3 linked regions of the Canis lupus familiaris genome follow. The protein of the gene in region 3 purifies or fractionates together with the protein of the main gene of each other region. This does not show direct contact. Links are inferred from orthologs where the notes say so. Each region holds a gene or a part of one and is shown on either strand. Other genes may lie near its edges. The genes, in order: CEP350, MTCL1 and PPP2R1A.

Region 1 (3,646 bases), on a different chromosome or scaffold from region 3:
CAATGTCATACATACTAATATAATATATATAAAGTTCAACAGAGTGTGGATAGAAAACAATAAAGTCTGCTAGCCAAGGAAAATGGCTTTTGAGCTAGATCTTCAAGGTCTTCAAGATCAGATATGTAATTTGGAGTTTCCCAGGTACCTAAGGAAGAATAGGGGTCATGAAGGGCAAGGAAAAGAAATGTCATGCTTCCAAGCATAAAGTAACTGAGATATGCTGAAACTACTAACAGAAATGGGGAACCTAAGAAATGGATAGAGGGGAAGTGGAGGCAACAGATTATATATCACAAGTTGTTGCAGAAACCTGATGGTAAAAAAAAAAAAAAAAAAAAAGGAAAGGAACATGTGTAAGGTAGTAATAATAGATCTGTCTTACATTCGGTTTGTTTTTAACACTGGATAATTTATTTAGAATTAGAAGGAAATTCAGGGAAAGGTAAAACGAAAGACAGGAAGCCAGCAGAGTATGTCTGACAATAATAATGGGACTGAGATGAACTACAGAGTATACCTACCTAAAGGTATTCAAGTTCAAAAAATTTTTTAAGTTTATTTATGCTTGAAATTTGAAAGGTATTTACAACCTTAAATAAATCATATGAAACTTATTGGGAGGCACTGTGTAGAGTGATTAAAAGCACAGGTTTCTGGAATCAGACTGCTTAAGTTCAAATCCCTCTCCACCACTAATGTTTGGACATTTGAGAAAGTTAAATTCTAGGCCTCAATTGTCTTTTCTGTAAAATGGGAATGACTGGAGCACCTAACTCAAGAAATTACAAGAATTAAATAAGATACAAATGCAAAGTACTTCGATCAGTGCCTGGAAACTACAAGTACTCAATAAATGTTAGCTAACTTTATCAGTATTCCTATTCTTTCGAAGGAGGAAGAATGGGGTGAAAGGACCATGTGTATTAACCCATAATTGGGAAGTGATTTTTTATTTGTGTGTTCTCAAAGAAGGGTTTCAAAATCTTTCTCTTTCTAAAATGGTTAAAGTATTTAAAACCATATCATCTCAAAACCACCTCAAATTCCATGCATAATTTACTTTTACTTCATTGCAAACAATATATTACAGCAAGAAAAAGATTTTCTTAAGAAAACTTAAAAGTATGGGGTGCTTTGGTGGCTCAGTCAGTTGAGTGTCTGTCTTCAGCTCAGGTCGTGATCCCAGGAGCCCCACATTGGGCTCCCTGCTCAGTGGTCAGCCTGCTTCTCCCGCTCCCTCTGCCTACTGGTCTGCCTACTTGTGTTCTCTTCCACTCTCTCTCAAAGGAAAAGGAAAAGGAAAAGGAAAAGGAAAAGGAAAAGGAAAAGGAAAGGAAAGGAAAGGAAAGGAAAGGAAAGGAAAGGAAAGGGAAAGGAAAAGGAAAGGAAAACGAAAGGGAAAGGAAAGGGAAAGGAAAAAGAAAGGAAAAGGAAAAGGAAAGGAAAAGGAAAGGAAAGGACAGAACTTAAGGTAAAAAAGTCCCCAATCAGCAATCTAGCCCTTGTTCATACGTTCACACGCATATCCAAATATCAAAGTTACAATAATAAACTGGAATGAGTCACATGAAGAAATTCGGATTAGTAATACAGATATACCTTTTGAAAATTATTCACCACAAATACTTTAAAATATTAATTTCACTGTGATTTTCAACCAATAAAGTTTTATTGTGTGTTTAGTTCAGAGAAAGTAACAGTGCTTCCAACTGTAGGATCTCTGCAAGGACTTACATTTACACTGGATATAAAAAGACAGGTAAAAGGGTATGCAATAAGTATAGATGTACACCATGCTTAAATATCCACCAGAAGATATTAACCAATTTCTAAATAAACTTCTTGCTCAGTGAAGTAAGTCAGTCGGAGAAGGACAAACATTATATGTTCTCATTCATTTGGGGAATATAAATAATAGTGAAAGGGAATATAAGGGAAGGGAGAAGAAATGTGTGGGAAATATCAGAAAGGGAGACAGAACGTAAAGACTGCTAACTCTGGGAAACGAACTAGGGGTGGTAGAAGGGGAGGAGGGTGGGGGGTGGGAGTGAATGGGTGACGGGCACTGGGGGTTATTCTGTATGTTGGTAAATTGAACACCAATAAAAAATAAATAAAAAAAAATAAACTTCTTGCTCATGTACAAGGTCAACAAAATTCATTAAGCATGAACCACTATAGTAAATTTCACGGGAAAAGAGAACCTTTTTTTTTGGGGGGGGGGAAGAGAACCTTAATCATCTTTCATTCTCCCCTTCTTACCTTGCAAGAGGCTGTGGAGGCTCTGACAGAGACATGTCACTACTGGAAGATGCACTTAGGGGACGTTCCTGTACTTTGTTTTCTTTGTCAGATTCTCCAGAAGGCTGATACCCGGGTTTAGTCTAAGAGAAAAGGATATCAAAATTACGTGACTCCAATCACAAACATATACTCAGGGAGTACATAAGACAAATATTAAGTGAAATGTGGGGGCTTTTTCTCTTAAATAAAATCAGTTCATATTTAGTTTGTCTTACGCAGCCACTACAATTAACAGCAAAATTACATCTGATATTCAGGAAAGGCACCTAATACTAACTGCATAATCTAAAGGAAATAATACTCTTCTAAACCTCAGTTTTTTCACCTAGAAATACTAGTAGCATTTACCTTCTCAGGGCCATGAGGACTTTTTTTTTTTTTTTTTTTTTTTAATTTATGAGAGAGAGAGAGAGAGAGGCAGAGACCCAGGCAGAGGGAGAAGCAGGCTCCACCCAGGGAGCCCAATGCGGGACTCAATCCCAGGTGTCCAGGATCATGCCCTGGACTGAGGGCAGCGCTAAACCGCTGAGCCACCCGGGCTGCCCCAGGCCATGTGGATTTATTGAAAATTTAAAGCCTTTAAAACAGTCTGTGGTACACTCAATGTTATTTTTAAAAACAGCAGCAATACTCAAAAAATTACCAATAACATTAGGATCTCTAATTTCAGCACAGATCACAAAACTAGGCTTTTATTAACAATCTTTTTGCTTAGTAATACAGTGAAAACTAGGCAAGGATATAACAATAGCAATGATGAGAGGAACAGAGATCAGTAACAGTCATTCTGGGAAATGCTGAGCACTTGTTTTCAATTATGTTTATCAAAGTATTCTCCACATACAATAAATTTCATGAAAAGGTCAACATTATTACAAATATTGTCTGAACATCAGGAATGAGGGTAATGAAATGGCAAATAAGCCTTTTCTAATCACAAATGACTTCCCTCTGCATCTCTGACACTACTGTTACCTGTGTTTCCTGGGTAGCTTGGTGATGTGGCGGCTCTTCGAGCAAGGTCTTTTCTAGGAGCAGTTTGGAGTAAGTGTCTTGCAGTCGCCTAGTTACTGATGGCTCAGAGGGAGGCACATTTTTTACTTTAGTAAAGGCTTCTTTCTGTTTCCGATAGAGCTCCTGTAATCGTTTGTTCTTCTGCTCAGTGGCCTCCTTTTGAGCCTTTTTCTCTTCATTTTGCTTCCTCTTCCTTTCCTCCTGCTGTCTAACGATGTACTGCCGTACCTCATCTGTGTCATAGTGGCGCTTTTTGGAAATAACAGGTGGATCTTCATTAGCTGTTATTTTGTCAGGTTTTCTTTTTACTGGGCTATGACTCCTA
Region 2 (3,746 bases), on a different chromosome or scaffold from region 3:
TCCTACTATGTTCTCACCTCTCCTCTGCCTCACTGCTACCTCTTTGCAGGCAAAACAGCTACTGGGCTGTCAGTTGGGGAGAACAGCTCCTGATTCAAGATTTCGGTTTAGAAAACTCAGCAGCGAGCCTATTCTAATGTCAGCTTGAACGGCACACTTAACCACCTTAAAAGCCCATGCCCTTGGTCCCGCTGGCCAAAAACTGGGCCTCATTTGGGTAGGTCCAACATTTGCTTAGAAAAAGTACGAATCAGATAACCCAGATAGAGGAGCGCCATCCACTGGTTTAGGAGGAGATCCATATTAGAGTCTTAACAGAAGCATGAAAAGATTTGTACCGCTGCAGTTATTTACTAACTTGAAGACTATAATAAAGTAATTGCCCCCAAACCAATCCCCCTTATTTTGTCTCGAGTCACTTCAAATTGTCGAGACCCCAACACTAAGTCCTCTGTTCTGCAGGCAGGCCCAAGCTGCCCTCCTCCTGGGAGGAGTAAATGGAAGTAGGATTGAGTGCCCCAAAGCTAACAAGACCAAGAGGCCCTTAATAGCAAGACCTCATGAAAAAGACTCAGACAAAGGCAGCAGAGGTTGCAATTCCCTCGAAAGTGCTGGCGTGCAGGGGCAATCAAGTGGCCTCTTCTGACACGAAAAACGGGCTTTTATGGTCGCCCACAAAGGACTGGCGACTGGCTGGACAACCAGCCAACCCCTTGCCCCTCAACCCGGGACACACACTCATGGGAGCCCTGAACTTAAGTTTTATCGCCAAAAACAGGGAGCTCCCCCTCCCCCGCCCCAGCTAGAGAAGCAGAGGGGGCCTCACTTCTTTAACCGCAGGAAAAGCATCTGGCACATCCGCCGCCTCGCCAGAGCAGGCTGCGAACTGCACACACCTGCACTAGGCCCGGACCAGAGCTCCTCGGCTAGGGGCGGCCCGACCCCAGAGGCGAGGGGGTGGGGGTGTCAGCTGTGACCCTCTCCCCCAGCACGTCTACAGGGGCAAAGGCGTCAGCAGGCAGCAGCAAGACTCCAGAAACAAGAGAAGCCAAGTGGGGGGAGAACCTGGCCAGACCCACAGGTCTCGCTGCTCCTTCCAGAAGTTTTAGCTCTAAGTTCCCGAAGCCCATGTGCGCGGGGGCGGGAGAGTGAAGGGCAGACGGGGGAGAGCGTGCGCGTCGCGCCGGGGCCGGGCAGGCCGGGCTCGCGGGTCCCCGCCGGCGCCCAGGCCTCGGGGGTCGCCTCCGGACACCCGCGGCGGGGCCGCTGCCGCTCACCTTGAGATAGTCGTTCTCGGAGCGCAGCTCCTCCATCTCCCGCAGCAGCTCCTCCTCCACCGCCGCCGGCACCAGCCGCGTCTGCTCGCCCGGGCCGGGATCCTTGGGGGTCCCGGGGCCCGTTGGCTCGAGCGGCGCGCGCCCCCCGGCATCCTCGGCCACAGCCGATCCCGGGGCCCCCGCGGGGCCCGCGGCCGGGCTGCTGCGACCCCCGAGGCAGGCGCCGGGGGCGGGGGGCGCGGCGAGGAGCGCGGGGGGCTCGGGCGGCGCCGCGGGGTTCGTCGTGGGGGCTCCCCGCGGCGGTTCCCGGTCGCTGGAGCCGGTGCCGGACTCGGCGTCGCTACTGGCGGCGGGGGGCAGGCGCTGCTCGTCGGACAGGGGCTCGGAGGGGCAGTCGGAGAGGTCGGAGCTGCTGTCGGTGTGGCTGATGCGCGACCCGGGAGCCGGGGGGCCGGCCGAGGAGGTCACGGCGAGGATCACGGCGGGGATCGCGGCGGCGGGGCCCGGGGGCCCGGGGGCCCGGGCGGGGGGCGCGCCGGGGCCGCGTCGGGCTCTGCGGCCCTTGGCGGCGGCGGGCGGCGGCTCGGTCCCGGGGGGCGGCGGCGGCGGCGGCGGCGGCCTCCCCGCCCGGGGCAGCGGCTCCGCGGGCGCCGTGCGCGCCGCCCTCCTGAGGCCCGGGGCGGCCTTGGCGCCGCCCGCTGCCCTGGCCCCGGCGCCCGGCGGCGGCTTGTCCTTCGCGCCCGGGGCGCCGCCGCTGCGCCGAGAGAGGCGGCCGGGCGCGGCCGGGGTGCCCGGCGAGGGCGGTGCTTTGCCCGCGAGGCTGGGCGCGCGCGGGGCGGCGGGCGCCGGGGCTCGACCCGAGGAGGGGGCGGCCGGGGCCGGGCCGGGCGCGGGGGTGCGGCCGTGCAGGTCCTTGAGGAAGGGTCTGGCGGGCGAGGGCGCGCGGTGCAGCCGCCGACGCTCGGCCAGCGGGTGGAGGTGGTGGTGGCGGTGGTGCTGCCCCGGCGGCAGCGGCTTCGCGTCCGGGGCGCCCCCGCCCGCGAGGCCGTTCAGCGTCTCCATGGCCGGGTCCCGGGCCGCGGGCGGCAGCTGTGCGGGCAGATGCTCGGGGCGGCGGCGGCGGCGGCGTCGGCGGCGGCGTGCAGCCTCCCCGCGCGCCCCGCTCATCACCGGCCCCCGGCCCCGCCCGGTCTGCGCCCCGCGCTCCCGCGCCGCCGCCGTGCCCCGCGCACCCCCGGCGCCCCGGATCCCCGCGGGGCTGGCCGCCGCCGCCGCCGCCGCCGCCGCCGCCCGGCTCTCCCCTCGCTGAGGTCACCGCCGCTCGCCTTCACCCGGTCAGCGGCGCGGCTCCCCGCCGCTCGCATCCCCAGACACCGGCACCGGCCGCCGGCGGCGCGCTCCCCGCCCACGGCCGCCCAGCTCCCCGCCCGCGCGGAGAGGAACTGCACGCGCGCTCCCCGCCTCCCGCGCCCGCTCCCGCTCCCGCCTCCCGCGCCCCGCGCCCCGCCTCCCGCCTCCCGCCTCCCGCCTCCCGCCGCCGGCGCCGCGGTGGGGCGGGGCCTGCGCTCCCGGGCCTTGGCGCGGGCGCCCTCGCGGCCTCCGAGGCTCCGGGGCCGGCGCGCAGGGCCGCGGAGGGGAGGCCGCCGCCGGGGTGCAGCGGGCGGGCGAGACGGGAGCGGCCCCCCGGGTGCGCGCGGGAGGTGCCACCGCCCCCCGCGGGCCGCCGCCTTCCCGCCGCCGTGTCCGCAGGCCCAGCGCTCCGTGAGGGGTCGGCTGGTGCCCGAGGCGGCGGCCACGTCAGGACGGGCAGCCCCGCGGCCTCCGGAGCTCGGGGAAGGAGGCGCCGCTGCGGAAACGGGGGCGGCAGCTCGCCGGGCTCGGGGTCCGCGAGGGGACTCGCGTCCGTGGCTGCGGCGGGGAGCATTGTGTCCTGTAGCCCTCGTGACGCGCCCCACTTGGAGTCGCCGTCTTCTCTTCTCGAAGGATGAGGACGCGGCCGGGGCGGTGAGGCGGGGGCTGCAGCCCGGCCGGGGCGGGGTCGGCTGCACCCCGAGCCCGAGGCGCGCCCAGCCCTGCGTGCCGTCCCCTCGCGGAGCCCCGCGTGCGAGTCCCGGAGCGGCCCCCGAGGGCCCAGCGCGGGCCCCCGACCCTTCCAAGCCTCGGTCCCGTTGCCTGCGTAATTTAAACATACTGCGGGCCACCCGAGCGTTGGGAGGATTAACTGGGCAGATGTGAGAAACGCCGTGCACGCTGCGAAGCACTGTTCGGGTATCCTCGAGTGCAGGCTTCGGGTGTTGGGGAATACGCAGAGGAGTAAGGCCCAGCCGTGCTCCACGCTTGGCCTTGCCAGGAGGCAAAGGGACGGGCAGGAATTACGAGCTGCTAGGGTTGAAAGGAGAGAAAATGAGTGGGAAATACCAGAGAGGGAGACAGAACAGGAGAGACTCCTAACTCTGGGAAACGAGCAAG
Region 3 (3,646 bases):
CATGATGGTGTCTGCCCTAGTGGGTTGCTATAGACTATGGTTCTCACAGCGAGGTCTGGACCACAACAGGATCACCCAGAAGACCAGGCTCAGCACAAATAAAAAAAATCAGTGTGGGGCCCAGAAAGATGCAGGTCTAGGAAACTTCAAGTACTGCTTTCCCACAATGAAAAGCTATACTGGGGGGCCTCTCTATGAAGGAGAGAGGGTAGAGTTCTCAAACCCAGAGAAGATACAGGGGAGGGGGGAGGTGTGAACCTCCTAAAATCACTGTACTTTTAGGAGAGGCTCTAGAGTTTTCATCAGATATTCAAAGGGATCCACAATTCCAAAAGGGTTAAAAGTTGTGGATACAGAATCAATCCTTGTGCTGTAGCTACATGGATCCCTATGAAATTAACTCCATTTCACCTCTACTGAGAACAAGGGCTGGGATTGGCTCTGACACACCTCTGGGTTCCCAAGGCCCATAGCTGGTACTCATGTTTGTGGAATGAACAAACTGCACAGTAGCCATTTTCCATTTCTCTTTGTCAAAATCCAGATCCACTGCCACCTCCTCCAGGAAGCCTTCACTGACAGCTCCCCCATCCCATCTGAAACAGGTGAAGGGCTTCCTCCAGGTTCTAAGGTCCCCCAGCTTCTCTCTTATCCAGCTCTAATCAGCCTGTAGAGCAACTGAGAGCCCCATGGGAGGGTAGTAGAAAGGAGCAGCAGTGGTTAAGAGGCAGGGGACTGGGTTCAAATCCTGACGGTCTCTTCTCAGCTCAGTCAATTCTCGTAAACCAGACCTTGAGCCTGTTTCCTCATCTGTGAACTGGGGCTGGTACGAGTATGTATATCACAGGGTCACTGAGGGACATGACAGGTGACTGTGTGGAAGGTACCTACAGGTACCAAGGAGCACTAGCATTCGGACCTGGGACCTGGCCTCTGGGTTTCCAGTGCTCCCTGGACCAGGGCCCTCAGGATGTGTCTGCCAGCTGTTGTGAACATCATGAACACCAGCCCCAGAGGCCTTGTGACTCTCCCTCAAAGTAAGTGTGGGATGACCCTGACCTTGTAAGGGAAGGACTCCAGGGTTCCAGTCCTGCTCCCCAGCAAGCCTGAGTCTTATACCACCTGAGGGCCCAAGGGACCCTTGTTAAAGCTACAGGATCAGCGTTTTCTGTTCCCAAGTCCTTTGAGGTGCTGCTGAAAGCCACAAATTCTCTCAGAAAAACTGATAAATGTTAGGGCTTGCAGAAAGTTTCATGGGACACACAGGACCCTTTTCAGGCTGGTCCCCAGACCTCATCATGTTCCTTGTGTTAAACAGCCCTAATCTGTGTAAAATGTAGGAAATGATCACATTTGCATACAATTGTCTACGTATACATACACATCAATTATACACGCACACACAGATGAAAGCTGACAGACTAGAATTTAATGACAATTATCCAATTTCTTCAGACCTAATACTGCTTGGAAGAAAAGTTACCATATCTGCTCAAACCCCAAATTCCTCCAATTTTAAGAAGTGCCATTATTTCACACAATGCAAGGAGGAAGAAGGCTGCTAATGAAAAGTGTTAAGGCATCATTAAGCGCAGATGTCAAATATAAAGCTGTATCTTTAGAAACCATGACATACAGAATTATTGGGGCAGGGGTGAGGGGAGGGAAGCAGGTTGTAGCAGTGGCCGCGGGCTCTGAGGAACAATGAAAACCAGGGGACTGGGAAAGCCCTGAGGCTTCTCCTTCCCAGATCACAGGACTGGACTCTTTCCCTGGTGACAATGGAATTCTCCTTTCTCTTCTCACAAATAGCAGTTACTATTAATATCTGACCCATCTTTGTGTCCCTAGCCATCACCAAGCACAGGGGTGCATAGGCAGGCACCTAGAATCCCAACTCTGCTACTGACTGTGAGGCCTTGACCAAGACACTTAACCTCTCAGATGCCCAGTGGCTCATCTACAAAATAGAAATGTCTCTACCCCAAAGGGTGGACATGACTTCAAAACATACAGCTTAATGACACTGGCAGCTAACACCTGATGGTACTTGCCATGTGCCAACGGCTTAAATTAATTTTTTGGGGGGGCTTAAATTAATTATAAAGATGTTTTAATGACTCCCATTTTACGGATGAGTAAAGTTTAACAGAGAGGTTAAGTAACTCTTACAAGTCACACAGCAAAGAAGTGGTAGTACTCAGATGGCTTCCACACCCAGAGCCCTATATGTACAGTGCCAGGTAGGGCCTGGCACTGGTCAGGCATACCCAGCTAACAGGAAGGTAAACAAGTACATCTTTGGTATTGCTATATGAATGCCACTACTAATCTGCTGGATTAAAGAGAATGTCCAAGGCTTGCCTGTTCCTTGAAGGTGACCCCCAAACGGGTGGGCAAGGGGACCTCCCTGCCTCCCAGACTCACCAGCAGGCAGTGGACGTACTCGGGGCCTCCCACCAGCGTGGTGAAGGTTCCCAGCTGTTCCGCCAGGGCCAAGAGGACCTCATCCTCATCGTAGATGGTATCTGGGGAACCAAGACAGACTCTGTTATAGCCCCACCCCAAAGCTGACCCAAGATTCTGGGTAACCCAAGCTGGGAGCAAGCAGGCTCCATTCTGTAAGCACTCAGTCTCTCCACCCTCTACTTGAGCTGGTACACAGATCGGAGATGCAGACTTGGGTCAGGAACAGAGCACCAAAGGCCGCCTTCTGCCCTTCACTAGGTGAGGGACACTGGGGGAGTGAAACCAGTCTGCAAACCCACTTCTGCACCTGCACGCACTTCTCTGAGGGAGAATTACAGAGGAGCACACAAAACCATGCATATAGGCACAGAGCCTGGTCAATGGGGGCTTTTCGCTTTGGTTCAGCTTCTTTCTTCAGCACTGCCCTCTATGCCAAGAATTAATTTTTCTCTTTAGCCTGAGAAATTCTCCATCCTTCTAGACTCAGTTCAGATTTCCTGACCAGACCAGAGCACATCCTTTCTCTACACTCCCCTCAACCCCAAGTCACCTTTATGAGAGTCCTTATATTTGGAGTCCAGGACTGGCTCTTCTCTGTACCCCAGTTTCTGCTAGAGATGAGCACAGTAGTTCAGTCCAGGTGTGCTAAAAGAACGGATGACTATGTAAAGACAGAGCTGCTGAGTCCTAATGCTCAACCCAAAGGCCTTTTTCAACTGCTGACCCATATGGCAGAAGATGCTTCCAGTAGGAACTGCTGACTGCTATGGCAGAAGACGCTAGCATCCCTGGCCTCTATGCTGGCATTTCAACTTTCTGAGATTAAGCCAAGCATACAGCAACCCAGCCAGGCATCCCAGGCCCCCCTGCAGCTGGAATGCCAAGTGACCATGCTCTGGTCAATGCTACTTCTATTCACACGTTCAAGCTCTGAGTCGCTTCCTCACCACCACCCTCTAAGCTCTTGGGGCTGTCATCATCTTCCTCATCTTGGGGTGGTTCTCTGCTCTCTCTTGGCTGAGTGTATGGCCATTCACTTCACCTGTGAGTCTGTTTTCTCACCCTACATCCCAACAGAGCTGTGTGAAACCAAAGTGAAGTGATGTTTTCTATGAGGAGCTCAGCATGGGGCCTGGCCCAAGTCAGTGCTTCAGAGAACACAGGCTAGCATGGCTCC

What was found.
Region 1: the proteins of PPP2R1A (region 3) and CEP350 purify together in Homo sapiens (affinity purification with mass spectrometry; 4 studies listed by BioGRID and IntAct, with this or other methods). This does not show direct contact. The link is inferred for Canis lupus familiaris from reciprocal best matches to the Homo sapiens genes PPP2R1A and CEP350.
Region 2: the proteins of PPP2R1A (region 3) and MTCL1 purify together in Homo sapiens (co-immunoprecipitation; 3 studies listed by BioGRID and IntAct, with this or other methods). This does not show direct contact. The link is inferred for Canis lupus familiaris from reciprocal best matches to the Homo sapiens genes PPP2R1A and MTCL1.

Annotation. Positions count from the first base shown.
Region 1 is NC_049228.1:13,444,731-13,448,376, reverse strand, and holds part of CEP350 (centrosome-associated protein 350), read right to left. Parts: coding exon 3,283-3,646; intron 2,388-3,282; coding exon 2,266-2,387; intron 1-2,265. UniProt on the Homo sapiens protein: Plays an essential role in centriole growth by stabilizing a procentriolar seed composed of at least, SASS6 and CPAP. Required for anchoring microtubules to the centrosomes and for the integrity of the microtubule network.
Region 2 is NC_049228.1:74,915,601-74,919,346, reverse strand, and holds the start of MTCL1 (microtubule cross-linking factor 1), read right to left. Parts: upstream 2,340-3,746; coding exon 1,278-2,339; intron 1-1,277. UniProt on the Homo sapiens protein: Microtubule-associated factor involved in the late phase of epithelial polarization and microtubule dynamics regulation.
Region 3 is NC_049222.1:105,616,319-105,619,964, forward strand, and holds part of PPP2R1A (serine/threonine-protein phosphatase 2A 65 kDa regulatory subunit A alpha isoform), read right to left. Parts: intron 2,529-3,646; coding exon 2,428-2,528; intron 1-2,427. UniProt on the Homo sapiens protein: The PR65 subunit of protein phosphatase 2A serves as a scaffolding molecule to coordinate the assembly of the catalytic subunit and a variable regulatory B subunit.